7 linked regions of the Xenopus tropicalis genome follow. The protein of the gene in region 3 interacts with the protein of the main gene of each other region in a pairwise test. Links are inferred from orthologs where the notes say so. Each region holds a gene or a part of one and is shown on either strand. Other genes may lie near its edges.

The links.
Region 1: the proteins of nudt18 (region 3) and dut interact in binary tests that used the Homo sapiens proteins (3 or more experiments, as listed by UniProt). The two-hybrid records come from large-scale screens. The link is inferred for Xenopus tropicalis from reciprocal best matches to the Homo sapiens genes NUDT18 and DUT.
Region 2: the proteins of nudt18 (region 3) and nadk interact in a two-hybrid assay, tested with the Homo sapiens proteins (2 studies listed by BioGRID and IntAct). The two-hybrid records come from large-scale screens. The link is inferred for Xenopus tropicalis from reciprocal best matches to the Homo sapiens genes NUDT18 and NADK.
Region 4: the proteins of nudt18 (region 3) and apip interact in binary tests that used the Homo sapiens proteins (3 or more experiments, as listed by UniProt). The two-hybrid records come from large-scale screens. The link is inferred for Xenopus tropicalis from reciprocal best matches to the Homo sapiens genes NUDT18 and APIP.
Region 5: the proteins of nudt18 (region 3) and glutamine synthetase interact in a two-hybrid assay, tested with the Homo sapiens proteins (2 studies listed by BioGRID and IntAct). The two-hybrid records come from large-scale screens. The link is inferred for Xenopus tropicalis from reciprocal best matches to the Homo sapiens genes NUDT18 and GLUL.
Region 6: the proteins of nudt18 (region 3) and hsd17b14 interact in binary tests that used the Homo sapiens proteins (3 or more experiments, as listed by UniProt). The two-hybrid records come from large-scale screens. The link is inferred for Xenopus tropicalis from reciprocal best matches to the Homo sapiens genes NUDT18 and HSD17B14.
Region 7: the proteins of nudt18 (region 3) and evi5l interact in binary tests that used the Homo sapiens proteins (3 or more experiments, as listed by UniProt). The two-hybrid records come from large-scale screens. The link is inferred for Xenopus tropicalis from reciprocal best matches to the Homo sapiens genes NUDT18 and EVI5L.

Annotation. Positions count from the first base shown.
Region 1 is NC_030679.2:103,767,502-103,771,797, reverse strand, and holds the end of dut (deoxyuridine 5'-triphosphate nucleotidohydrolase, mitochondrial), read right to left. Parts: intron 4,060-4,296; coding exon 4,015-4,059; intron 3,395-4,014; coding exon 3,320-3,394; intron 1,415-3,319; coding exon 1,344-1,414; intron 883-1,343; coding exon 826-882; 3' UTR 501-825; downstream 1-500. UniProt on the Homo sapiens protein: Catalyzes the cleavage of 2'-deoxyuridine 5'-triphosphate (dUTP) into 2'-deoxyuridine 5'-monophosphate (dUMP) and inorganic pyrophosphate and through its action efficiently prevents uracil misincorporation into DNA and at the same time provides dUMP, the substrate for de novo thymidylate biosynthesis.
Region 2 is NC_030683.2:91,985,716-91,989,808, forward strand, and holds the start of nadk (NAD kinase), read left to right. Parts: upstream 1-1,293; 5' UTR 1,294-1,311; intron 1,312-3,069; exon of another isoform or gene 3,070-3,199; intron 3,200-3,295; exon of another isoform or gene 3,296-3,388; intron 3,389-4,093.
Region 3 is NC_030679.2:129,564,568-129,568,567, forward strand, and holds the start of nudt18 (8-oxo-dGDP phosphatase NUDT18), read right to left. Parts: upstream 2,801-4,000; 5' UTR 2,567-2,800; intron 2,554-2,566; exon of another isoform or gene 2,464-2,553; intron 1,589-2,463; 5' UTR 1,587-1,588; coding exon 1,431-1,586; intron 717-1,430; coding exon 503-716; intron 384-502; coding exon 1-383. UniProt on the Homo sapiens protein: Mediates the hydrolysis of oxidized nucleoside diphosphate derivatives. Hydrolyzes 8-oxo-7,8-dihydroguanine (8-oxo-Gua)-containing deoxyribo- and ribonucleoside diphosphates to the monophosphates. Hydrolyzes 8-oxo-dGDP and 8-oxo-GDP with the same efficiencies.
Region 4 is NC_030680.2:11,183,871-11,187,894, reverse strand, and holds the start of apip (methylthioribulose-1-phosphate dehydratase), read right to left. Parts: upstream 2,801-4,024; 5' UTR 2,733-2,800; coding exon 2,685-2,732; intron 1-2,684. Other genes in the region: pdhx (pyruvate dehydrogenase protein X component, mitochondrial), read left to right, coding at 3,245-3,362. UniProt on the Homo sapiens protein: Catalyzes the dehydration of methylthioribulose-1-phosphate (MTRu-1-P) into 2,3-diketo-5-methylthiopentyl-1-phosphate (DK-MTP-1-P).
Region 5 is NC_030680.2:100,277,500-100,280,999, forward strand, and holds part of glutamine synthetase, read left to right. Parts: coding exon 1-140; intron 141-744; coding exon 745-906; intron 907-1,378; coding exon 1,379-1,525; intron 1,526-2,734; coding exon 2,735-2,862; intron 2,863-3,500. UniProt on the Homo sapiens protein: Glutamine synthetase that catalyzes the ATP-dependent conversion of glutamate and ammonia to glutamine.
Region 6 is NC_030683.2:114,406,471-114,410,417, reverse strand, and holds the start of hsd17b14 (17-beta-hydroxysteroid dehydrogenase 14), read left to right. Parts: upstream 1-1,147; 5' UTR 1,148-1,234; coding exon 1,235-1,337; intron 1,338-3,763; coding exon 3,764-3,799; intron 3,800-3,947. UniProt on the Homo sapiens protein: Catalyzes the NAD(+)-dependent oxidation of L-fucose, yielding L-fucono-1,5-lactone, which rapidly converts spontaneously to L-fucone-1,4-lactone. Can also act on D-arabinose and L-galactose, with lower catalytic efficiency. Does not use NADPH.
Region 7 is NC_030679.2:134,010,146-134,014,244, reverse strand, and holds the start of evi5l (EVI5-like protein), read right to left. Parts: upstream 2,801-4,099; 5' UTR 2,680-2,800; intron 1-2,679. UniProt on the Homo sapiens protein: Functions as a GTPase-activating protein (GAP) with a broad specificity.

The sequences.
Region 1 (4,296 bases), about 26 Mb from region 3:
GTACTTATGTCAAACTGTGCTCCTTGCACTTCCATACAGTTGCATTCTGCACCGCTCAGTCCTTCTATGCTTGCCTCCCATTCCAAACTGAGTGCACTTGTACCTACTGAGGCCAAGGAACCCCGGAGCTCCCACCTACCAACCATGCAGTAACTTTAGGGCTTCCTAAGTGCCCTGTGTCTATGCACCCAAAGAATAGGATGCACACGTCACTTGCACAAGAACACTGGAAATGCCATCAAATGGACATTGGTACAACTGCATCTGATTGCAAAGAAGTGTAAAGGCAATTACTTTTACTTTAACTGCAACGAAGTTGGGAAAAAAAAACTTGGCAATTGTGCTCGAAGTTGCACTTTGGTCACTGTATTTGTAATAGCAACTGGCCCCTCGTGTCCAAGAATGTTAATAATAACCATAATCATATAAAAGTGGCAGAACTGCTACATTCCTCACCTTAAAATTATTTAATCTAAAACCATTCAGAAGCAATTTTGCAGAGTTTTTTTTCCAAATGTTTTATTGTTTCTTTTGTTGTGTAGATGAATATGTACGTTTACAATGCATTTTTAATATCTTTTCAACCACCCAGACAGGAAGTGGGTATCTTACAATAAAAAGAGAGTCATAAAAAGGACTAATGATTTAGAAATTCATTTCATATACATTTGTAGACTTAAGCCTGTATTAATAAACAGTGACTGCATAGAGAAAGCAGACAAAACTACAGCATGGTTTTATTAAATAGCACCTTAAAGGACAACAACTAAACAGTGCATTATACAAACAAAAAAACCCACAATAAATGCAAGTTAATGAATTAATTTAATTCTGACCAGTAGAGCCAAAGCCACCAGCACCACGTTCTGTATCATCTAAAGCCTAAAATAAAAAATAAAATGAAATTGTGAAATAAAACACTACAATGGGGCACAGTTTTAATACAGTACAGGTATGGGAATCAAAGGCATCCTTCCACCATGCTTTAAAACATTTAAACATTAAAAAAAAAACCCCAATAAGATAGGTTGACTTAGTTAATGCAGTCTTATTAAGTTCATGACATAGTCCTTTTGACAGATTGAAAAGCTACAGTCGGGTTGCCAGGCAGCCGGGTTCAGGATCTTCAGTAGAATTTATGTAGAAAAACAGGACTTTTAGGAAAAAACAGTCAACATGACCTATAAGTAGGTTTGGAAGTAGGTTTATATATTTTTAAAATAATTTTTTTGGTGTATCACTTTAAATATGATTATGTATTCCTGAATCTTCTGGATAACAGATGCTTTACCTGTTCAACTAATACAGAGATACATACAGGACAGAAAAAAAAAATAGCTTACTTGGACTTCTTCAAGTTCAGGGTATAGTATTCTCTCACATATCAACTGTGCCACTCTATCACCTTTTTTCACTAAAAAAAAAAAAAAAAGGCAACATAAAATCCAAATTATACCAGAGTTTTTTCCTACTACAGAAAAACATTACATAAAGATGAAACACCACATGATAAATAACGAATTAATTTATACACCATTAAACAGGCAGGCAATCTTCTGTGATTTTGACTGATTTTAGCAATATCAGCAAGTCTTAGAGAGAGTAATAAAGATATAAACCACAGTACGATTGGGGAAACAGAACAGTTTACATTTGTTACTGCTAGTTTACTTAGCAGAACCTGCATTAATAAATGATCTGGGACAGCTCTCCATTTAAAGTTTCATTAAAAGAGAAGGAAAGGTAAAAACTAAGTAAGCTTTATCAGAAAGGTCTATGTAAATACAGCCATAAGCACTCACAGAAATGCTGCACTGAGTTCTCTAAAAAGATTTCTTGTGTCTGTAATTCATGTGCTAGAGACACGCAAGCTCTCTGATGCCTCTCTCCTGCTCCCCCCTCCCTCAAGAATGCTAAGACTCACTCCGTCCCCCCCTTAGGGATGTGGGTCTGAGCCAATCAGCAGGAAGCTGAATCATAGTCATACTAACTGAGCATGTTCACTTGGTCTGGGTGTCTGTGCAGAAGCGAGGCATTATGGGAACTTTCTTTACTCGGCTCAGCATTTTTTCTTCCTGTTTGACTTTTGATCATCTGAACAGGTGAAATATGGGGAGACTTAAGGGTACTATTGAGACAACTGAAGGTATGCCTTCAGTTGTCTAAAGGTATTACCCTTTCCTTCTCCTTTAAAGGGGCTGCCTAATTTGTGTGAATTTCAGCAAACTAAAATTAACCATCTTTGAAAGCAACAAGTGGATAAATTCAGCAGGCTTTTATAGTGGAAACTCTTCTCATCCAAGTTATGCAAGGAGAAGGCAGAGACAATAAAGTAACATCATAATCTACTTTTGGCTTATGATTTCTTTCTTCGGGTTAGCAAAGGACAGAGTTATCAATAATGTTAAGATTTCATGACTTTTCATGTTCAGCTGAACCTAATCTGCACTTTTTGGGTTGGGTTTAATACATGGTAACAAACATAGAAAAGCTTTTAGTTTTCATTTAGAAACAGCTCATCTGACTATCTTTAATAAGTGTAATGTTGTCTACAACTCTCACGTGAAGGAAAGATTAGGGAAAAGCAAGGGGTAGCAGGCACAGAATACAAAGCAACAAGTACAGTCTACAAAGCTCTTTCATAACTACCTGTGTAGCAAGTAACCATTAGAGTCATTGTGAAAAGCTGATTTTTATGGCAAGGTAGATTTTTACTGCAAGATGTCAGGAAGAATATTGCGAGGAGGGATCTCAATGTGTTTCCAATTTAAACAAAATTCTTGCCTCAGTTTCTGTATATTTGGGAATGTTTGTTTAATAAAGCATCATCCACTTAATTTACATTATAAAAGATGAATATTTTTTTTTTTTTTAAAAAAAAAACTAGTAGTTTGTCCTATTTAACCTTTAATGCCATGCAAATCAATTTTATGCCTTTACAGGACAATGTGGCCCTTTATGGGCATTTAACTGACCAAAACCCATAATATACACCCACCGAAAATACTGCAGTAAACTGTCTGTTTGCTTAAACTGCATAAGCAAACAACCCCTTAGGGTGTATGCAAGACAATGTGTGAGAGGAAGTTAGAGTGTGTAATACTCACGTAAATCTCAGCATTTAAATTACTTGCTTACCAGTACTCAGAGGTTTAATATGTCTCTGTTATTAAATGCAGATCTTTAATAAACTATTTTTTCACCGCATACATTGCCAAACTGATCAATGATCTAACCAGTTGTTATTTGGTTTTGTGTAGAATGATCACCAGTCAATCGGCTTTAAAATATGCAGGTCATTTCCATTAATTCTACATACCTTCAAAAGCTTCCTTCCCAAAATTAAATAACACAACACCAACATTCCCTCTGTAGTCCTCATCAATGACCCCGGCTTCATGTAAGGAGAGGTTTACATAATACAAAAAAAAAAAAAAAAACAAACTGCATTAATAAGGATATACATACAGGACAGCATTTGTAAAAAAACAAATTGGATTTACAGCAGTGGGGTAATTACAGTAGGATATAAATATACTTGACTATTCTTTATAAAATCTGTAGTATACATATTAGGTTAAAAATGACACATTAAATAAAGTTCACTTGTATTCTCCGTTATAGAGAAATCAGGTGAAGAGAAATTAAATGTGAGAATCTTCTCAGCGAATAATGTTTTACTGGCAAGGTAATTTATTCTGAAGAAAGGGCACATTGTCTCTATAGCAATAGGACATAAAGACTGCAAACACTGCAGGCATACAATTTATTTTTTCCCCAACAAGAGGAATGCAAAACAATTCTAGAAACTGTTAGGGCCTTATTTATGCAATCAGATATGGAAAACATGAGTTTCTGGAGTTATTCAGGGTTATTTAACAAAAAAAATCCAAAAACTGAGTGTTTGCCTTGTCTCATGTTTTATACCACTAGAAAACTAAATGCATAAATTCTGGCAGTAAAAAGGCCCTTAAAAAAAAAACCTGAAAATACAAGCAATGTGAATATACATACCTCCAACATCAATGAAATACTTGGCAGCTAAGCCAGAACGTGGAGCTGGAGACGAGAGAAAATGGTCACGAGATGCAACTAACATGCAAATCTTAAACTATCCACTTTGCATTCCTTGAAAGAAATACAGGCAATGCAATAGAACTATATACAACAAATCCCTATTTGAAGTTAAAATGTATCTGTGGTAGTTAGGGTGCTGTAGAAAACATGACCAGCAGGGCAAGCTCAAGCTACACTATTTTGCCTGCTGTAAAGATGTTATTGCAGATGATTAGCTTT
Region 2 (4,093 bases), on a different chromosome or scaffold from region 3:
TTTTGGAGGGACGTCCAGTTCTTGGTAATATCACTGTTGTGCCATATTTTCTCCACTTGATGATGACTGTCTTCACTCCATGGTATATCTAATGCCTTGGAAATTCTTTTGTACCCTTCTCCTTACTGATATCTTTCAACAATGAGATCTCTCTGATGCTTTGGAAGCTCTCTGTGGACCATGGCTTTTGCTGTGGGATGTGACTAAAAAATGTCAGGAAAGACCAACTAGAGCAGCTGAACTTTATTAATCAGAGGCACTTTAAATGATGGCAGGTGTATGCTGACTCCTATTTAACATGATTTTGAATGTGATTGCTTAATTCTGAACACAGCTGTGGTGTGCACACTTATGCAACCACATTATTTTAGTTTTTTTGGTTTTCTTCCCTCCACCTAAAACATTTCAGTTTGTTTTTCAATTGAGTGGTACAGTTTATAGGTCACAGGTGGAAAAAGTTCTGAAATTGTTTATCTTTGTCTCATTTTTGTACAGCACAGGAACCTGACATTTTACCAGGGGTGTGTAGACTTTTTATATCCACTGTAGTTGCTCTGGAAGACAAGCCACAGTAAATGCTGTAACAAAATCCCAGCAAATTGTTTGGTCTTTTGCTTCTCATCTGAGGCACTCATCAGGGACGTTGTCAGTGTTTCCCATCTGTATACAGACATAAATACCTAGAAACATTTTTACAAAAACACATGTTCAGACTGACACAACCATTTGACAACAGTAAAAGTTTTTGTTAAAATTTGAACCTAATTTATTTTTCATTTTTCAAAATAATCACAATGACCTGGAGGAGGGCATAGAAAGTACTGCTGCTATTTTTGCTGATGATACTAAATTGTGCAAATGTGCTGATGATAATAAATTGTGTAAAATGTTGCCACTTTGCAGAGCGATTTGATTAAATTGGAAAATGGAAAATAAGGTTCAATATTGACAAGTGCAAAGTTATACGCTTTGGTAGAAATAATATAAATGCAAGTTATACATTAATGATAAAAAACATAGTCAAGCTGATGCTTGATGTAAGTTGATTTATTTTACTTAATTAATTAATTACTAATTAATAAAATTGCTATACAATGCTGAAAACCTAACCATAACATGCTTCAAATGTGGGACACGTCTTTGAAAACAGGAAAAATCAACTTTCACAACAAACACAATATTACACATTAGCTGTGGCTCTGTTGTAACAATTGCCTCATATTTATGTTGACAGTCATTGCATCTGTATTACTGTAAAAGTGTAGCTGGCTGACTCAAGAGCAATTACACACACAACAAGTAATGTTCAAGGTAAGGTCTGTGCTATATTTTCTGCATTTTAATAGCTAAAATCTGAATAACTTATAGGATTCAGATATGATCCAAGAACACTCACAGTTATAGCTTTTTTATATTTGTACGTTTTGCAGCAATTAATCTCCACATTAAAACTGGCACTGGATTTGATAAAGTGTGAGCATTTTTTTGGTAGTTACAAGTAGTTACTTTTTTGCAAGTATATATTGATATTATCAGTCTGTTGAGCTTCTGAACTCATGATTAACCAAGCAGTTGCAGGTTCTGTTTCCCTTGTTAAACCCTGTGGGATCTCTCCATCTAAGCGACCCAATGCTTTTAGGGACAGGAACATATTTAGGGGTAGGTGAGTTGATGATTTAAGAAAAATGTATTGCAATTCCAACAAATATTTAACTATTGTTTTCATCTTATTTTATTGTTCCTTTCCGAGCTTGTCTGAAACTGTCAGTGACAAACAAGATAACATCCTGTTCACTTTACTGACAGTCAATAAGAAGGTTTGGATGTGTGTGTGACCTGCTGTAATGCACATACCAGTACTGAGATATATTCAGCATAGAGAAGCAGGGATGGTAGGGGCAATATCATTTGGTGTTTGATTTACAGTTTACACTGAGCAGCCAAATCTGGCTGTAGCTATGTGCATGGATGGAAACAGGTATTGGCTTGTATACACAGCTTGTGCCACAGTGTGGTTTAAGCCTGGTGCAGTGAGCCGTAGTGTACAAAGTTTCACTGACCTTACTGGGGCTTATAAATAAGTAACTAGTATTTTAGGAAAATTATACAAATTTAAAAATAAGGCACAATTCATGTTATTAAATTTATTGAGGAATGTCACACATCACAAGTGACATACATGACATGTGCAGCCATAAAGAGAATAGCGCTGCACGTCAGGCCATTGTGATACAAACATCTAGCAGTGCCACCTTCTCTGGAGATAAATAATAACATTGCCATTAATCAACAGTTATCCCAACTGAGCAGTTAAATAGCTGCCAGCCTGCCAGTAGGCAACCCTCAGGCCCAGACTGGCAATCTGTTTCGATTCTGGCAAACGCGGAAAGGCTACTGTTAGATGCCATAGAAAGTCAATATAATGGGCTGATGGGGGGCTGTTTGGGCCTTTGTGGATGTAATATGCCACAACCTATTCTGAATCTCAGTCCAGATCAGGCAACCCTACAAACATTAAATCTAATGACTGCTCAATATTTACATCACACACATTTATGTACATGTAGATACAACCCTAAGCCCTGTATATATATATATCATTTTTTTAAACCACCACAACCGCTATACTCTGTGGCTCATAAGCAAGTTCTTTTCAGTTAAAGGAGGGACCATTCCTTTATTGTTTTGCAAGTACTTTTTATTATAAATCAGTCATCTGTGATGGAGAATTCTACGCACAAGCTCATCTGTAGAATTTGTGTTAAAGTTTCACTACTCAATGTGTTGCTTATACTACATTTTCTACAGTCACCCAAAACTGGAAACAGTTCATTGTGTGCTAAGCCTGTATCATCTAGGGACCCCCAAGCCCTTACACCCTTTTAAGCCTCTTTTAAATTTTGCTGGCACTTCCTTTCTCCCATTCACGCCGCATCAGGACATGTCAGCAACTTGGGTTACTCGGGTTTTTGACATGCCGCGATGTCACAGCCATGTGACCAAGATGTGGGCGGGAGAGTGTGACGTCAGGAGCCAGTCTGTGTAGCGCCAATCAGATCAGACGGACCGCCCCGCGTCACAGCGCCACGTGACACCAAGGAAATGGAGCTAGTTTTCCCCATCCAAAGAAGTGAGCAAGAGGTCTGAATGTAGACTTGTGGTGGCGCAGGGTTTAAATGTCAGAAAGGTGCAGCAAGAGGTGAGGGCAAAATGGCGAGGGCATCAAGGGGACCGTTCGGCAGTTTTGGGGCCAGTGATATAAAAAGTACCCAGCAGTTGGAGGAGCACACTGTCATTTGTATAGGGCTCCTGTCAGTGTCATATGTACAGGACTGCAGGAGTTCATGTATGAGGAATGGAATGTGATTTGTATATGACTGCTGGTGAGGTACTGTGTGATATGTTCATGGCTATGTGATGTACCGTGCTGACTGGCACAGCAAGGGTGATGTGTATAGGGGTGTTGGAGGAGGACTGTATGATCTCTACATGGGTGCTGGAGGAGGGCAATGTAATCTATACAGGGGTGCAGGAGGAGGGCAATATGATCTATACAGGGGTGCAGGAGGAGGGCAATATGATCTATACAGGGGTGCTGGAGGAGGTCAATATGATCTGTACAGGGGTGTTGGAAGAGGCCAATATTATCTATACAGGGGTGTTGGATGAGGGCAATATGATCTATACAGGGGTGCTGAAGGAGGGTAATATGAACTATACAGAAATACTTGGGGATGGCATGTGAACTATACAGGGGTGCTGGAGGAGGGCAATATGATCTATACAGGGGTGCTGGAGGAGGGCAATATGATCTATACAGGGGTGCTGGAGGAAGAGGGCGATGTGATCTATACAGGGGTGCTGGAGGAAGAGGGCGATGTGATCTATACAGGGGTGCTGGAGGAGGAGGGCAATATGATCTATACAGGGGTGTTGGAAGAGGGCAATATGATCTATACAGGGGTGTTTGATGAGGGCAATATGATCTATACAGGGGTGCTGGAGGAGGAGGGCGATGTGATCTATACAGGGGTGCCGGAGGAGGAGGGCGATGTGATTTATACAGGGGTGCCGGAGGAGGAGGGCGATGTGA
Region 3 (4,000 bases):
CCCTTCGCCCCCTTGGTGGTGCAATCCCAGAATGCCACAAGACCTGGGCGGGTCGTTGAGCAGACATCTCAAGGAGTTGAGAAAGCTCGCTCTGCTTGTGGAACAAAGAATGACAGGAAGGCAATGAGAATGGATGGCACTCCGTAGAACCCACAGCTGCCCCTCTGGGCCAAAGCACAGAAGAACGAGACGCAAGGCCAAGTGGGGCGACGATAACACCTGAGGCAGGACAGAGGGATGTGAAGGGAGTTGCCGGTATGCCAAAGCCAGCTTGATGTGGGGTAGAATATCTCTGCAGCGCAAGGGTAATGGGGAGACAGTATCCCACCACGTGGCCTGCAGAGATTCGGAGTCTGCTAAAAGCTCGGACTTCAGAGAGCCACCTACAATGGAGAATACAGGTTAAGAACATGCTGCATCCAAACAGACCAGAAGCTTTATGTGTGCAACGTGGTGCCTAAACAAGCCCAGCCCCAGCCTGACTCTAGGCTTCTATAGATACCTGTCTGCCGGGCCAGGAATACAAATCGGATCCAGGCAGTTCCTCTCTCCTCCACAGCCAGAAGGGTGATCGCTTCACAGGTAAGTCCGGTCTCCTCAGTTACCTCTCGGCATAATCCTTCCATGAGAGTTTCTCTCTTCTCTAAGCGCCCAGCAGGCAAGTACCAGGTTCCTCTGCATTCAGGCTTTGCCTCCTGCATCATCAACACCTCATCCTGCAAAACATTACTCTTACTACAAAAAAAACTGGCCACAGTCCTGCCATCCTTCACTTGGGCACAGTCTGCCCTAAGGTTCCTTATTCCTGTATTGTCCCTGGCACACTTGGCTGGCCCCTACTGGCCTTTCCTTGTGCATTCTTTTCCCACTGAAGAGAAAACAAGTAAAAGTATCCTATCTCTAAAGGATAACTAAAGCCTAAAAATTAATAGGTAAAAATAATGTATTTTATATACTGAATGTACTGTACCAGACCAGAGGAACAGCATATAACAGTAACAATCCAGGCCTATGAATTGTCCAAAGCAGTGCCCCATGATCTGATTTTTTACTGTTGAGTGTCAGCGGCACTGCACATGCTCAGTGTGCTTTGGACTGATGTTGAGATGCAAAGCTTAGTGGTTATCATTGGTATGAGGTTACATTTGTCAGAAACGCTGATGAAGCCACAGGGCTGAATATGAAACATTTTTGGTGCAAACCGCCATCCCACTATGTAATGTGAATCTGAATTTATTGGTAATCCAATATGAACTTTATACAGTATATAGTGAGTGGGTCCCTAAGCTCAGGTAAGTGCCAGCAGCACAGAGTATGTGCAGGGAATCAGCAGAAAAGAAGATGGGGGGCTACTGGGGCATCTTTGGGGGCACAGATCTTCCCTGCTAAAGGGCCTGTCTACAAGCTTTGATTTAGCTTTACTGGCTCACCCGCTCATTCAGTAACACTCCCATGACGATGTAGCAAACGTTGTGTCGCAGTCTCAAAGGTCGGGGGGTTTCAGGAGCCACGTCATATGTTTCAGGCAAAGGGACAGCCCCACCTTCCAGGATGATGCTGAGCTCCTCTTCCAGGGCAGAAGACATAACTGACATGGGCAAAGGACAAGGAGCAGTGAGATGATATAAAGGCAGCAGCCGGGGTTTATCACTGAGATGCATTCAGTAAAACTACATTGTGAAGCAATATTGATGCACTGCTCACAAACAGGCCCAGACTGGGACACAAAATAGGCCCTGGCGTTTCAAGTACACAGAGGCCCAAACAGCCCCCCACCAACCCAATAAATAGTGAGTGTCTATGGCATCTTACAGCAGCCCCTCTGGCATTTGCCCCAACCCACAGATTCTGGGCCTGCTCACAACTAACGCACACTGACAGCATTTAGGGCACAGGTTCCCCTAACAAAACCAGCTAGAATTATACCTGATGCTGCTATTCAGTGAAATTCATAGGGGTCTGAGTGAAGGGGCAACTCCAGCAATAACTTTTTGCCTTTCTAACAAATATATCTATTGGCATTAGAAGGAAGGCAGCATCTGAAAGGAGTCTGTTCTCTCCTGTCTGCGTGGGTTTCTTACAGGTACTCCGATTTCCTTCCACACTTTAAATACATACAGACAGGTTCATTGGCTCCTGATAAAATTAACCCTAGTGTGTGTAAAAGTGATAGGGACCTTAGATTGTTAGCTCCATTGGTGCAGGGACAGATGCACCCTAAGGCTGGCAGCACCTTTCCCTGCAGGGGTGGACTGTAGGCTTATAAGGTGCAGGTAGGTTGATATCATGAGCTAGATGGTCTCTGAGCCAGTGTAACCCTCAGTGCATAATACCAAAGCTTAGTGCTGGGCAAAGAGTGAAGCCAAACCAGCCCTTATTGGGAAATGGGCAAAACAATGACTCAGAAGTCAGGAATCAGTAATTATAGAGCTGAACCCAATCAGCCACCGTATATTTACTCACAGGGATACTAAATGCACAGCATGGAGCTGCACAGATTCTCTCTCCCACCCATACACCCAGGCATAGCTCCCTAACAACGATACACAACATTACTATTACTCACCTAGTGCTTCAGACGCGGAAATAGACTGTCATCTTCCTGTTCTCGGATTGGCGCCCCCTAACCCAGCCCCCGCTTCTGATTGGCTTCCACTGGCTTTGGTTTTAGAAAGAACGGGGGAAAATATGACAAAAAACTTGATCAAATGAGAAAAATGGGTGGAATGTGGGTGAAATGTACCTGCTGTTTTCTTCCTGCCAGTCCTCAGCTGCGGTTACTAAATGTACAATTTAATCAACTTTCCCGCACAGCAAACGCCGTGTTTGTTTCCACCGCTAGGTGTCGCTAGTCCGACACTCTTTTTCGCCTTATTGAATGGAGTATAACCAGGAGCATTCTGGGAGTTGTAGTTTCGTTTAAAGCTGCAGGGCTGCCGGCTACGTATTGCTGAATTAATATTTAAAATCGAGTTTCCTACTACAAATCAGCTTTTGCGGCAGGAGTGAACTTTGCAGTCTGGCTTAATGTTTGTATGCTCCCTTAGGTTACAGCAAGGCCGCCGCTCCCTATAAGCAGAGTACTCAGTCTGCATAGGGCACCAACTCCCAGGGGGGCACCATCCCAGCTGCTCCAAAAAAAAAACATTTTTATATATTATAACATACCCCCCCAACACTGTCCCGCCAGTTTTTATAGCGCATCCCGCTGTCCTGGATAGTTCTATCAATCTATGGGGGCAATTGGGGGCACTTACTATGGGGGCATTGTCTATGGGGGCAATTGGGGGCACTGGGTGTGGGGCCCCTATAGTAGGTGTTTTTTTTTATTATTTTATTTTTACTTCCATAATATTTGGGGGAGGGGGCACAAAAGTAAATTTCTGCTTAGGGCACCCATTTGGCCAGCAGCGGCCCTGGGTTACAGACCCCTGTTTACTTACCGGCTTTCTAGTCATTTATGGCCCTGTCTTGGCCAGTTGCACCTCCACATTTTGTGCAGGTAAAACCCCACCTTTTGCTATATTAAATCCGTATTAATGACAATACCTGAGAAGTATCATTTTCCCTGACTGGGCCAGTGGCAACCCTACTGCGTGTGGTGCCTGATATCTGATATGCACACACATTACCCAGCATTCAGTGCCAGCCTTGGCACACAGTGATAGACAAGTGGTATCCAGCATGGAGCTCAGTACAGAATGGGGGTAAAGTGGGCACTAAGCAGTGAGTTATGCCAGTACAAGGGGCAGTGAGGAATGCCAGATGGCTAGTGGTGTAAGTGCCATTGGTGCTTACAAGTGATGTTGGCAGTGAATTCTCCAGGCCCAGCGGCTGCTCTCCCTTGCCCCTATGTTATAGCGCCAGTGCATGTATCTGTGGGCTGCCCATGCCCCCTCTAAGCACCACTCTCCCTGTAGAACAAGCTCAATTTGCCAGGACTGTTCTAGTGAGTTAGTTCATCCATTCCTTTAAAGGAGAAAAAAAGGTAAAAACTAAG
Region 4 (4,024 bases), on a different chromosome or scaffold from region 3:
TGATTCCCTTTTCTCTGTAATAATAAAACAGTACCTGTACTTGATCCCAACTAAGATATAATTACCCCTTATTGGGGCAGAACAGCCCTATTGGGTTTATTTAATGGTTAAATGATTCCCTTTTCTCTGTAATAATAAAACAGTACCTGTACTTGGTCCCAACTAAGATATAATTAATCTTGATTGGAGGCAAAACAATCCTATTGGTTTTATTCAATATTTAAATGTTTTTTGACAGACTTAAGTTATAGAGATCCAAATTACAGAAAGATCGCTTATCCAGAAAAGCTCATGTCCCGAGCATTCTGGATAACAGGTCCCATACCTGTATATAAATATAGCTTCTGCATAATACCCTGTGCCAGTGCTAGCCATAAAGGGTACTTTATTGTTAGGTATTGGTTTATCTTCCCCCCCAAAAATACATCTAAAGCTTAAATTCTGATTTCTATGGCCCCTCCATGTAGCTCTTGCCTCTCCCAACACCCAAGACCCATTTGGTATGTTCTCACCACATCCTTTCACTTTGTAACCTTGTAGCCCCCTCACTGCACTGTAACCTATAGCCCCTGTTCCAACAGACATTAAAGGGGATGTAAACCCTGTTGCACAGCGCTGCTCAACCAAACTTTACTCAGGTGTTGCTGGACTACAAATCAAAGCAGGCAGAACTCTGCCCATTCATTGGCTGATGAGACCTAGCATGTATGTGTGCCTTGGCTTGTTTGTATGCACTGTGACTCCTGTGATCCCAGGGGCGGCCCTTAGTACTTAAAATGGCAGTTTCCTATTTAGGATTACCCAATGGCACATACTACTAAATTAGTATATTTTTAATGAAAATGGTTTATTTCAGATGAAGCAGGGTTTTACATATGAGCTATTTATGCAATATATTTTATAGAGACCTATATTGTTTGGTGGTATAGTTTTCCTTTAAAGCAATATTGCACAATAATATTTTTCCTAAACTTTTTCCCAAATCTTCGCAGCCAGCGACTGCTTTAAAATGTGAAAAATATAAATATATATAGAGATAATGATGGCATTTTCCCCTCATTATATGGCACAGGAATCAGACATGGGGATAAGGGCAGACTTGTTCAGTGCTGGGAAACTGGGTTTAATGCTCCCAACTCCAATTGCAGGAACAGAGAACATGGAGCCGGATTTATACAGATCAGCTGGGATTCTCATTGGGAGATTTTTTTGCATTTTAAAGAAGACGCTTGCTTTGAAGTAGTGACAACGCAACATCAAAATAAAGGTTGCGGGTCCAGTCTTTCTTCTTCTTCCCTCCCCACCCGCATCCTAACTGAGCCCTACTTCTGGGTCTGGCTGCGTCTCTTTATAGGCACGTGTCTGCCCCCCTCAGTGATGTCACAGGTGGGGCAGGCTCGGGTCTATAAATAGATGCAAAACTGTAGGCCGGGTTGGGTACGGGTGGAGAAGGGGCGGGTTAGGGGCAGGTGAAGATATAGGGGAAAGTTTAGGAAATGTTTTATTGTGCAATATTGCTTTAAAGGAGACATATTGCATAATTGGGAAAAATGCTTATTTTGTAGGCAATTATTAATAATATACGGTGCTGGTTTCACTTTGGGCTAAAAATGAATCCCATCTGTAAAAATGGCCCCTTTATTGGAGCTCCCTATAGATCCTATCACTTCTCCGTCCAGTGTGAAATGAGGGGTGGGTGTGTCCTAACGGTCCCTGCCAGAAGTACAGTAGGAGGGGGAGAGCCAATCACAGCCCTGCACTCACACAAGCACAGACAGGCTTCAGTTCCCTATCAGGTTAGCCTAGCTGCTGATTGGTTCCTATCCTACAGTGCAGTGTATGGAGGGCCGCCGGCTCCCCAGCTCATCCAGAAAATTCAGCCAGCAGGAAGTGGAACAGATGGCCGGGACTAGTGGGGTTTTTGTGGAATTTCTCAATAAATCAGTCACAACTTTTTTAAGCACAATCCTTCTATATCTAGAGGAGTATAATACACTGGTACATTCATAATTTTTATAGGATATGTCTCCTTTAAGAATACAACCCCTGATGTTGCTGGACTACAGCTCCCAGCATGCCTCTACCTTTATTATATGTTACATTATTCTGGGATTTGTAGTCCAGCAACAACTGAATAAAGTTTGGTTGAGAAGTGCAGCAGGGTTTATATCCCCTTTAACCTAAAGGCCACCCAAGTGCACCCTACTGACTCCTATGGATCAGTGGAACTGGTGCAAATGTCTATAGCTGGTATGTAGGGTTAGTCGCTGTCTGCTTATAGAAACTCCTCTATTAATCACTGCCAAATTAATTTTCTGCATTTGAAGTAATTAAAAATGTCAATTTTTTTTTAAATGTGTAAATGTACTTGCTATTGAAAGCAGTATTTGTCCCCTTTCTGTTCTCTGGTTCTGACAATGTAGCACCACAGTTATTTAGCTGGTTTCTGCGAAGGTGTTTCAGCAGTCAGAACCAGCAGTGCAGGAAAGATAAAACAGACAGAGGCTGCCTTTAGTAGCAATTACGTAGAGAAATAACTTTAAAACCAGTGAAAATGGGCAATAAATATGTTTATAGGAAAGTTGCTTAGAATTACATTGTCTTTTATGGAGCAGCATTCAGTATTACTACTCCTACCTGCCCCTGTGTGCTGCCCCTCTCCCTGCCATTAGCCCATGCATTACCTTGGCATTGTCTGTTTGATTGCAGTTGTCTCTATTGCAGTAATACATGTCTGTCAGGCAGGGCAGCCCCGGGATGTGCTTCAGTGTGTAGGGCTGGGGGTGTTACTGTGCAATGCATACACTGCCTATAGAGCAATCAGACAGGCACAATTACGGGCAGCCCTACCGGGGTCCTCACCGTTCCGCTAGATATAGAGCTCCGTTCTTTTTTCGAACGCGCAATTTTTACGCTAATAACGTCGCGTTACTCCCACAAAGTTACAGTAGTGTTACGCGGCACCGCCGAGGATATTATTCGTGATTTTCTGTCAGGCAGTATGATGGACGGCTATCCCAGGGTCCTGATCCTAAATAAGGCGGTGACCGGGCAGCCGGTTTCCCTAGGACCCCAGCGCAGCGCTGTGACATTTCTATTCACAGAGCGGAAACGGTGCTTTTGTAACGCTGCTTGTGGGGTTGGTCGATAGGATTTCTGGCAGCTTTTTTTTTATTATTTGTATCAGGCGGGTTACAAGGCAGCCCAGGTCGGGGGGGTCCTTGGTTCCAGGAGGTGCCGCAATATGGCCGCCTCCTTGAGACTTGGCTGTCAGGGGTTTATTAGGTCATTTGTCGGGGGGCTCCGGAGTCGTAACGGAGAATGCAGAGTGAGGGCCCTACACACAGCCGGGATCCTCAGGGGTAAGTAGGGCCGGGGGGGGGGGCTTTGCTTGCTCCTTTGTATCTCTAGCTGCTTATTGTAGCTGCCATTGCCCCAAACACTCACCCATGGGGGTTCCCCAGTTGCCAGTGAGGTTGCCCCATGGGGGTTCCCCAGTTGCCAGTGAGGTTGCCCCATGGGGGTTCCCCAGTTGCCAGTGAGGTTGCCCCATGGGGGTTCCCCAGTTGCCAGTGAGGTTGCCCCATGGGGGTTCCCCAGTTGCCAGTGAGGTTGCCCCATGGGGGTTCCCCAGTTGCCAGTGAGGTTGCCCCATGGGGGTTCCCCAGTTGCCAGTGAGGTTGCCCCATGGGGTTCCCGGTTGCCAGTGAGGTTGCCCCATGGGGGTTCCCCGGTTGCCAGTGAGGTTGCCCCATGGGGTTCCCCGGTTGCCAGTGAGGTTGCCCCATGGGGTTCCCCAGTTGCCAGTGAGGTTGCCCCATGGGGTTCCCGGTTGCCAGTGAGGTTGCCCCATGGGGGTTCCCCGGTTGCCAGTGAGGTTGCCCCATGGGGGTTCCCCGGTTGCCAGTGAGGTTGCCCCATGGGGGTTCCCCGGTTGCCAGTGAGGTTGCCCCATGGGGGTTCCCCGGTTGCCAGTGAGGTTGCCCCTGAGGTTGCCCCATGGGGGTTCCCCAGTTGCCCCTGA
Region 5 (3,500 bases), on a different chromosome or scaffold from region 3:
GAGTAAGGCCATAAAGCAGATGTATCTGGAACTGCCACAGGGAGATAAGGTGCAGGCTATGTACATCTGGGTTGATGGGACCGGGGAGGGTCTTCGCTGCAAGACTCGCACTCTGGACAGTGAACCCAAGACCATAGAAGGTGGGACTTTCCCCTTCTACAGCCAAGAAATCAAGTCTTGTTTTTCTCTCTTTCCTTCTTAAAAACACAACACAATCTACTTGCAAATAATTATATGTATCACCCATACAGCAGACTAGTTAAACCTTAAGGATGCAGGCTGTTTTCAAGACCAGAAATGAGTAGTAACTAATTGCATCCAGTTATATGGGTTTAGGCCCTAAGGCCTTGCTGTCTGCAAGTGTTCTGTTATACACTCTTTTACACTTTTATACCAATCTACCTATTGTTCTTCATGTAGGACTATAAATCTAGTGCATCCCATAAGCAAGGAAAATATATGAATTACATATTATACTGAGGTGTGTTTAACACTATAGCCTCAGTAACATCCAGTCGCTTGACATTTTGCCAAACACTGCCATTAGATGTTTTTACCCCACTGAAACACACTAAAAGACAAAAAACTCTGTCAAATCTGCCTGGAAATACAATCAAATAGTTTTATATCTATCCTATTTTACACTTCCTGAAAGACAGAACTGAAAATTCAGTAGGTTCTTTGCCTGCAGTTAAACAGGTCAAGGTTTTGCCTTCCCTACAATATGGCTCTAACCTTGTACAGATCTTCCTGAATGGAACTTCGATGGATCTAGCACATACCAATCCGAGGGTTCCAACAGTGACATGTACCTGATTCCAGTTGCAATGTTTAGAGACCCTTTTCGAAGGGACCCCAACAAGCTGGTACTCTGCGAGGTGCTCAAATACAACCGAAAAACAGCTGGTAAGAATATTTTTTTTTTTTTACTTTTCCAGTGTGAATTGTCACTTGCCAAACTAGTAGTGCTGCACCTCATCCTTGCCTTTCAGTACTTGTTGAGCATCATATTTCTGCAGATACTGTACATTATATATATATATATATATATATGTACTCAAATACTCAAGCACTAATTCAGTGAATAACGTTAATAGTATATATGCCCATGTGACTTTTTTTAGAACACGGATTCCATACTAGCTTAATTCCTGATTAATTACCATTAAAAGACAACTACTTGCTCCTAGTATTAGGATTATATATCTTAATGATGGTGGGTTTAGCCTTCCCATCATTTCCAATAAGGCCTGTTTCTGCCTTTCATACAGTCTACCGTGCATTTTATTTTCCAGACATTAGCCAATAATTAGCTCCATTGGGCAATACTTTGTTTGAATGATGTTTTAATAAAGCCTTTACTTCTTTCTATTTATAGAAACAAACTTGCGTCATACATGTAACCAGATAATGGACATGATGGCCAATGAGCATCCATGGTTTGGCATGGAACAGGAATACACATTGCTGGGTATGGATGGACACCCTTTTGGCTGGCCTTCAAATGGCTTCCCAGGACCACAAGGTATGGGTAGATTCAACAAGGATTTAGAAAAACTGTAATGTCTTTGACAGTGAAAAATTACTAGTTACCTCCTTACATATTTTGTGATTCTTATTGGCTTGTTGAGTATTTACAGTTATGTGACAGCCCAAACCAATATAGAGTCAGTACTTTTACAGTAATGTCTCATGGAGAGATTAGACGCCTGCAATAGATCTCTGCTACCGCAGGCGACTAATCTCTTCGAAATGCCTTTCCAGCAGCAACACAGGGATTCGCAGGTGGAAAGGCCTATGCGTCACTTCGGTTTTCTGAATTTGCACAAAGTTGCCTGCAGGAGGAAACTTTGCACAATTTCAGAAGACTAAATAACATCCTTGTTATGTCACAACACAGTAGCCTAAAGTTCTGGTTACTTGACAATAGTGTGCATGATAAGAACATGTTTATGGTTACAGCTTACCTCATCTTATCTTATCAGAGACTTCTGGAATCCTATATGTATGTATGTATGTATGTATGTATATCTTTATTTATAAAGCGCTACTTATGTACGCTTTATATGTACATTAATACAAACGGGATTATTAAGATAATAATAGATAAATACAAAGTACAACAATAAATACAGATAGATACAAGATAAATACAGTTGCAATAAGTTAAGAGTCAAAGACACAAGAGGATGGAGGTCCCTGCCCCGTAGAGCTTCATATCTATATGGGAGGGTAACTAACAGACACAAATAGGAAAATGCAGTATAAGTGCTGTAGGTCACAGAGGGTGACACTATAATATAAGTGCTGATTCCCAGAACAGGTGCTGGGTGAATGCCCCAAAAGGTAGTCTTTAAGTTTAGTTTTAAAAAGACTGGGGGAGGATTCTCTCCGGAGGAAATCAGAGAGGGTATTCCAAATGTAAGGGGCAGAAAGGTTTAAGGCGGGAAACAGCAGCAGTAGTAGTGGGGGGCACAACCAATTGATTGCTCTGCGAGGAACGAAGGAGTCGGCCAGGAACGTACGGAGACACAAGAGAAGAGATGTAGTGAGGAGCAGAGGAATGGAGGGCTTTGAAGGTTAAGAGAAGGAGTAAGTGAAGGAGATAAAATGAAGTATGTTTCTAAAAATCAATACTGCTGTATAATTGTGTTAATGTATAAAATATTAAGTGTAGGAGATGTAAAGAGATAATTATATTTTTATGTTTTACAAATATTCTGTTTCTCTTCAGGTCCCTATTACTGTGGAGTGGGTGCAGATAAGGCATATGGTCGGGATATTGTGGAGGCTCATTATCGGGCTTGCCTTTATGCTGGTGTGAAAATTGCAGGAACAAATGCAGAAGTTATGCCAGCACAGGTAAGACATGGAAGTGCTGGGAAAAGATCTGTTTTGGTTTCTAGTATCTGTGATTTTCTGATTTTCCTTTGGGGATGCACTGAATCCAGGTTTCGGTTCAGGATTTTGCCAAGATTCTGCCTTTTTCAGCAGGATTCCGATTCGGGCGACTCCATAGTCTTGGCCGAACCAAATCCTTAAAATCACATAAACACGGAAGTTGAAAATTTTACCACCGCATGCACAACACGTGGTTCTTCTTAACCCCTTGAGCTGGCCATACACGTGGCGATCCGACGATGTTTCGTACAACCATCGGTCGCACGAAACATCGTCAGATCCGCCACACACCATTCAGGGCTGAATCGGCAGGTAAGGAGGTAGAAACAATAGGATTTCTACCTCCTTCTGCCGATTCAGCTCTGAAGGGAGAATTTTGGTCAGGCGCCTTCTATGGCGCCCGATCAAAATTTTCTAACCTGGCCGATCGACGAGCCGACCAATTTCAGCAGCTTCCTGCGACATCGGTCGGCTCGCTGACATACCATACACGCACCGATTATCGTACGAAACGAGGTTTCATACGATAATATCGGTGCGTGTATGGCCACCTTTGGTCGCTTAATTTACATATGCAAATTCGGAGTCAGTTCGGTATT
Region 6 (3,947 bases), on a different chromosome or scaffold from region 3:
CAGGTTTGGTTATAATGATTCCCTTTTCTCTGTAATAATAAAACAGTACCTGTACTTGATCCCAATTAAGATATAATTACCCCTTATTGGGGGCAGAACAGCCCTATTGGGTTTATTTAATGGTTAAATGATTCCCTTTTCTCTGTAATAATAAAACAGTACCTGTACTTGATCCCAACTAAGATATAATTACCCCTTATTGGGGGCAGAACAGCCCTATTGGGTTTATTTAATGGTTAAATGATTCCCTTTTCTCTGTAATAATAAAACAGTACCTGTACTTGATCCCAACTAAGATATAATTACCCCTTATTGGGGGCAGAACAGCCCTATTGGGTTTATTTAATGGTTAAATGATTCCCTTTTCTCTGTAATAATAAAACAGTACCTGTATTTGATCCCAACTAAGATATAATTACCCCTTATTGGGGGCAGAACAGCCCTATTGGGTTTATTTAATGGTTAAATGATTCCCTTTTCTCTGTAATAATAAAACAGTACCTGTACTTGATCCCAACGAAGATATAATTACCCCTTATTGGGGGCAGAACAGTCCTATTGGGTTTATTTCATGTTTAAATGATTTTTATTAGGTTTAAGGTATGGAGATCCAAATTACAAAAAGACCCTTTATTTGGAAAACCTCAGGTGTGAAGCATTCTGGATAACAGGTCCCATACCTGTACTTTAGTGGATAAGGACAATGGCATGCCAAGATGATTTACCAAGCAACTTTTGCTTTGAGTGCTTTATAATGGCAAAAAATAGGAAAATTTTTATTTTTGTTAATTAAAACAATAGAATGTAATTTTAGCATAAGTCCTATTTGATGTGCTAATATTTAGCAAATATGTTTTTAGGGATATACTGTCCCTTTAATTCAATATCTCAAATGTAAAATATTCCCTGTTCCTGTATCCAACCATTCGGGTACATTCATTATATAGTAATAAATGCTTTATTAGCCTGTCTTTGCTTGTTAATCGATTAGCAGGTAATTCTCAGGCTGCACAGATACACACCCTGCCGGAGCAGATTTCTTCCTCTCCATACAAAACAATGGGATTCCACATAACTCTTAACACTGGCTTCTCAGGACTACGCCCCCCATAATTCCCTGGGCCTGGAGCTCAGCCAACTTATTTCCTGTTAGATCAGCTGCTCAGAGCGTGACTGAAGTTCTGCTCCCTGCAGCTCTGGGCACTGCTACTGGGTTCCTCGCAGGAGAAGCACCATGGCTGCCAGTGGGGCAGAGCTGAGTCTGCGGTACCGTGACAGGGTGGCAGTCATAACGGGGGGCACCAAGGGCATCGGAGAAGCAATGGTCAAGGAGTTTGGTAAGGATTCAGTTTGCTGCTAAAGTTTATAACTAAATCCCAATGTATCTGCCTTTTATTTATTATTGTGTATATGGGCAGTGGCATAAAGCAGCCCTGGGCACTGGGGTACCTGCATTCTTCTACTAGGGATGCCCCCAATCCTCTTTTTAGGGTCTGGCTGAACCCCGAATCCTTTGCAAAAGATTCAGCCGAATACCAAGCAAAGTAAAGGTTAAAGAGAAACTTCCATATTTACGTGACAAAACGTCATGGATTCAGATTTGGTTTGGCCAAAGGCATGGATTCGCCCAAATCCTGCTGAAAAAGACTAAATCTTGGCCGAATCCTGGATTTGGTGCATCCCTATTTAGCGCCAGTACCACACTTTTCTACTGGTTTAGTGCAGCGCCTCAATGCATTTATAACTAGAGTGGAGCCAAATGAGTAAGGCAATGGTTCTGAATCCAGTGCTCAAAGCTCAAAAATGGGTCTCTGTGCTTATAGGGGATTGTTACCATGACCCCTTCACATAAAGTGGCACTTTGCCACTTTACAACTGAGGTTTATGAAGAATTGTGGATAATGTATTTATATATACTGTATATATATATATATATATATATATATATATATATATATATATATATATATATATATATATATATATATGCTATGAACTGGCATTCAACAAATGCCCAATGTCCAAGTGGAACTAAAGTGCTAAGAAGCCAATGCAGCACAATTATAGTGATACTAAAAATGGATTGTGTTGAGAATCATTAAGGATTTCCACCAACTTTGTGGATGTGCCCATTGTTGCTCTAAAAGGATATGGAGCTAGCCTTAATTTCAGTATTTCAGCCAAGATGGTTTAACCCTGTCTCCTGTATTTATAACTAAGTCTATGATTAGTCTTGTTGGATGAAGCTTGCTGTTGCTGTCATCCTAGCGCTATAGGCCAATTAAAAACGAATCTAAAAATTAGAATCCAGATGTTGTTGTATTGATGCATTTTCAGCCAATATCCACAACTGAGTTCTGCCCTATGGAGTTTTATTACTACTTTTCTGTTAGATTTTGAGGGTCGGCAGGTTAATCACACCAACAAAGCTTGAGGTGGGAAGCAAGGGTAATGGCCCTCAACCCTGCACATTGTAGGGCCAGAGCAGCAGCTGTAGGTAAAAAGAACGGGGAGCAGAAGGAAGAGATGCAGACAGTTGCACTTTATATTAGCATTGCCCAATATATGCCCCTTGGGCTCTTTTCGAGGTATAACTGGCACCCACCTTATTGGGACTTATAATTCAATGACAGTCAAACAGTCACTATTGTATACATAGTGGGGCCCAGCAACATCTGTACATTGCCCTGGATGTGTTATTTGTTTGGCTTGACTTGGCAGAAGGACAAGTTACACATACATTTTGTTTGGTTGGGTTGTTCTGTTCAGCTCAAAGTCCAGAGGGCAGGATTTCTCCTGTTATTACTGTGGGGATGGGTTGTGTAGGCTCGACCCCCTCTCTGGCGCTCTGTCGTGTAGAATGTACTATACCCTTTATAATGACCCACGCAATACGGAGGTTATCAGCTTGCTTTGGGCTTTTCATATCTTCTTTACTTCGTTGACTATGGGGCTCATTCATCCAGACCCCCTAGTCTTTGGGAAGTAACTAAGTACCCACTATAGGGGGGGCATTACTGCTAGGTGTGGGTAATAAGGGACAGGTGACTGATTATTCTTTCTAGGAAATAGAAGAAAAGCTTTCTGGTTCGTCACACCAAGCCTGTTCTAATTGCAGTGCAAAGAAAGAGGGAGTCATAGTTTCTAGGTGCTAGAAGGACACAATTTGGGCCTCTCCTACCCTAAGGCTCCTGATCTCAGGCTAAACCAGTCGCCAAACATTGCAGCGTGCATCCACATGGCACTAATAGCAGCTTTAGGCCAGTGATCCCCAACCAGTGGCTCGGGGGCAACATGTTGCTGCCCAACCCCTTGGATGTTGCTCTCAGTGCCCCCAAACCAGGGAGTTATTTTTGAATTCCTGACTTGGGGGCAAGTTTTGGTTGAATAAAAACAAGATTTCCTACCAAATAAAGCCCCTGTAAGCTGATAGTGTGCATAGAGGCTGCCTAATAGCCAATCTTAGCCATTATTTGGCTCCTCCATGAACTTTTATGGTGCCTGTGTTGCTCTCCAAGTCTTTTTACATTTGACTGTGGCTCACGGGAAAGAAAGGTTGTGGGCCCTGCTTTAGGAGAAGTCCCCACTGTGGAGACAAAAGGCTCTCTCAAGCCCAAAATCCAATCCTGCTGCATGTATGTGTTACTATGGATCCTCAGTGTGTTACAATACAGCAGCAGCCATTTACCATAGATACTGCATGTATGTGCCTGTAGCACTGACTCTTTTCTCTCTTTTGTGCCCCTTCTGTTCGTATCTGCAGTAAAGAGTGGCGCCAGGGTGGTCTTCTGCTCGAAAGGTAAGGAACTCTTCATAGGAATCTCCCACGTCTTGGGGAAATGTGTCTTTTTCACACACACACACACACACACCAGACCAGTCTCCTATATCCCTGCCCCCCCTCAGCGAGCAACTGCTGGGTCTGCTTTCTCTGCTCCTACACCCTA
Region 7 (4,099 bases), about 4.4 Mb from region 3:
CATAAAAAAAGTTAATTTAAAGGTGTACAACCCCTTTAATGAGGCACAGAACTGCTCTGTGTGTTCACATGTAGAACAGAGGAATTTCAGTCCCTTCCACATATTATATATACCCCATATTGGTACGTGCTACAAGCAAGATATAGGATTTGGGGTCTTGTTTACAACTGACTGACCATAGGTTTGCTTGTCCATGGTTACACTGATATTCCTAAATTGCAGCCCTTTAGTGGTTTCTAATTTACAAAATTTAAATGGACCTCAGCACACCCTAGCCTCTTCAATATATAAATGCTCAATGTGCAAGAGTGGAGGGTTGGCACCAACTAGCAGAGAATATGATAGGGGCTCAACAAAACATATGCAAGTGGCGGTAAACCCCTATGTGTTTATTACTTGGGTATTCAATATTTTGGGAAAACGCCCCAAATGTAGTAAATGCTTCCCAGTGCTATAGATATAGATATTCTCTACTATAAACCCCTTCACCCTGTGTCAGCAGGTTTGAATGCTCAAAATTTCTGGGACCTGTCTATTATACCGGCTGCAAGGACTATTAGTGCCTGAGATTTTACCCCTGATCTGGGCACATTGGGTTGTAAAAGTTATGGCTCTTTGGGGAATATTAAAAGTATATGGGAAATAAAGGAAAGGCAGAAATAAAAAGAATGGTGGGAAATAGGAAGATGGGATGAGCACAGAGTAGGAACCTTTAACCTGTGGCTGTTCAGCAATAGATATGTACTAAAGCGGCACACTGACTGGTAGATCACTGTAGATCACTGACTGGTACAGGGTGAAGGATGCGGCAGGAAACTGGGCATGAATGGATGGGGGCCACTGCTGTGCCGAGGCAGAAACAACAGAGTTCCTATTCACAGCTAAAGCACTCATTCAGAAAGAACTGTATTTGATTAAAATGTCAGCGTGCTGTGAGCTCTGTGCAGTCACCGGGGCTCAGTAAAACCAGGGTGTTTGTTGTACCCACCGCAAGGCCTTAGGGCAGTGGTTCTCAACCTGTGGGTCGGGACCCCTTTGGGGGTCCAACGACCATTTCACAGGCGTCGCCTAAGACCATCGGAAAACACATATTTAGGAATAATTTTATGGTTGGGGGGTCACCACAACATGAGGAACTGTATTAAAGGGTTGTGGCATTAGGAAAGTTGAGAACCAATGCTTTAGGGTGAAAACACACTGGGCTACTAGTAGCAGCTACTTTTTCATTGCTACTAAACTACAAAAAATACCCTGCCATAGACAATACTGAGAATTGCTTCTGCTACAACACACGTAGAGACAATTATCAGTAAATGATCAGCATTGTCTGTTTCTATAACCATGACAAGTAGCTGCTACTAGTAGCTCTGTGTGTCTTCAAAAATGGTCAGCTTCGTGCCTCCCAGCATTTTCCTTCAGATACTCACTGCTGGCACAGCAGCACCTTTGAGCACAGCTTGGTACAGGGCATAAAGGGTGCACTTATGGGTGTTTTACAGTGTGCCAGGAGCCCGATAGTTGGCACTGCCACGGGTGCACTGCTGTAACGGAAGTCGTGCCAGCTGAATTCTTCTCTATTTACTAAGCAAACTAAGAATGGCCGGCGGCACCCTGCTGAACTACCATTGGGAATGGGGGCACACCCTGAAATAAGTGTTAGGCACCACAGTCCTGCCGCCCCCCCAAGTGTCTCAAACACGTTTTTGATCCAGGGACTGGTCCGATTGCCATCTTGGAAGGAATTTTTTCCCCTCTGTGGCAAATTAGAGAGGCTTCAGATGGGGTTTTTTGCCTTCCTCTGGATCAACTAGTAGTTAGGCAGGTTATATAGAGGCATTATGGCTGAACGTGATGGACATATGTCTTTTTTCAACCCAACTTACTATGTTACTATGTCCCAATAGGAAGTCACTGTCAGTTCTGCAGTTTCCATTTTGGAACCTACAAACTGGGTGATTTCCTTTCAAAGGGTGGGGTTGGGACACCTCATCGTTGGGGAGGGGAAGGGGGGGGGTCACACATTTTCCCGTAACCCTCTCAGCAGCTGAAGGGGCATATCGCTACGGTAACAGGAAAAAGGGGACCCATTGACTGTGTGATGAATGGGACATGGATACAAACAGGGATCCATAGAGCTTGTGTATCATTTGCACTGAAAGGAACACAAAGGGTAACAGAAAAATGATTATATACATATATATACGTGTAACATATATATATATATATATATATATATATAGACCACATACACTCACATATATATATATATATACTATATATACACCACACACACACATACATATATACTATATATACACCACACACACACACATACATACATATTATATATACACCACACACACACACATACATACATATTATATATACACCACACACATACATACATATATATATATATATATATATATATATATATATATATATATATACTATATGTATCACACACACAAATATATATATATAGTACAAATGCCCTGCATAGCCACCCTATATGTATCCAAGCACCCACTCCCCCAGGGCACAGTGCCCCTATGAGGCAGAATGACGCCCTGACAGAAAGCTGTGCCCGCTGACACCTGTACCAGGGACGCCTGAGTGACGTCACGCCGCCGCACACGAAGCGCTTGACAGACGCAAACCTTGCACCGTATATCTCACCTCAGGCCCCCGGCGCTGCCACACTGACTCCTCCCTCCCCGGGGCTTCACAGGAACGGAACAGAGGCGAAAGCAGACACTCTCACGCAGGCATTTCAGCCCCGCCCTCTTTCGCGCGTAAGGGCAGGGCAAAAGCCAATAGCAGCACGCCAGCCTTATTGTATGACCAATGAGAAGCCGAGCCGGCGTCAGGAGGGCGGGGCTAAGGCAAACTTCCCTGTAGCGACTGGAGGATAAGGTTACGCTCGGTTTGGCAAGCCGACGACGGAATTGACCCAATCAAAGCGAAGCTACGGAGGGGAAGCAGCCAATCATTAGGCAAAGAAATGACAGCTGGGCGTGGCTCAATTAAATGGGCGGGGGTAGATCAGGAAATGATATCCAGTGGCTGAGGCGTAGGGTTTGAGCGGCAGCTGCGCTCTTTGGTAGCCTTGGTGCTGCTGTGCGCACATATTTAGATATAAATGCATCCTCCCTTGTTACAAATAATAGTCAGACCTCCACGGCTGTATTATCCCTTTACGTTTTATTACGTTTAATTTGTGGGTTGCAGTGGTCCTCCTAGAGCTGTAACTATAACCTCTATGCTAACGCTAGATGGCGGGGGGGGGTGTGTAATATAATGCTATGCATGCTGCAGGTCTAGTAACGCATAGCAACTGATCAGCTGGAAGCATTTGAGAATGGTCAGGTCAGCTGTTTACAAGCAAACGTTTTAATTGGTTACTATGGGTTACTGGACCTGGGCAACCTTTGGATCTTTTATTCAATTCCCCTGCAGTGTTGGGCTGAGGTACTTTAGGCCCAATGGGAACCCAACTTACATATCTTGGTGGAGCCAAAGCTGCTTGCTTGATAGCCTCACTGCCTTGGGCTCCTAAGTCTCCCCTAGCCAATCCTCATTCCTGGAGTCCCATTCCCCTGACCATGGAGCTGTTGAAGTGGTCTCCTGCCATCCTTCTTTACTTAGGGGTTGCAAAATAACGATAACATTCCCCCCCTTTCTTTTAAACACGGAGGGCTTACATTTCACTGCTACATCACTATCCTAGTTGAAGGTAGAATGTTTAATCCAATTCTCTTATAATCTCTGTGTACAAGTAACATAGGAAACATATAATAGATATATATATATATATATATATATATATATATATATATATATATATATAGACAGAGTACCGCACACATAGGGACTTTGTGGTCAGTTGCCCTGACCACTTCTATCGCTAAGTCCCTGTGTGTGCGGCTCACTGTCTTGATGTATACATGTTTTGTGCAAGCACCCGGGGCATTTGATTACCATTAGGGTGTGCTCTGTTCTTTCCTGTGTGTATATATATATATATATATATATATTAAATTGAGCTGGTCAGAGTGCAGCCTCTTTCATTTTATATGTACATATATATATAAGTCCA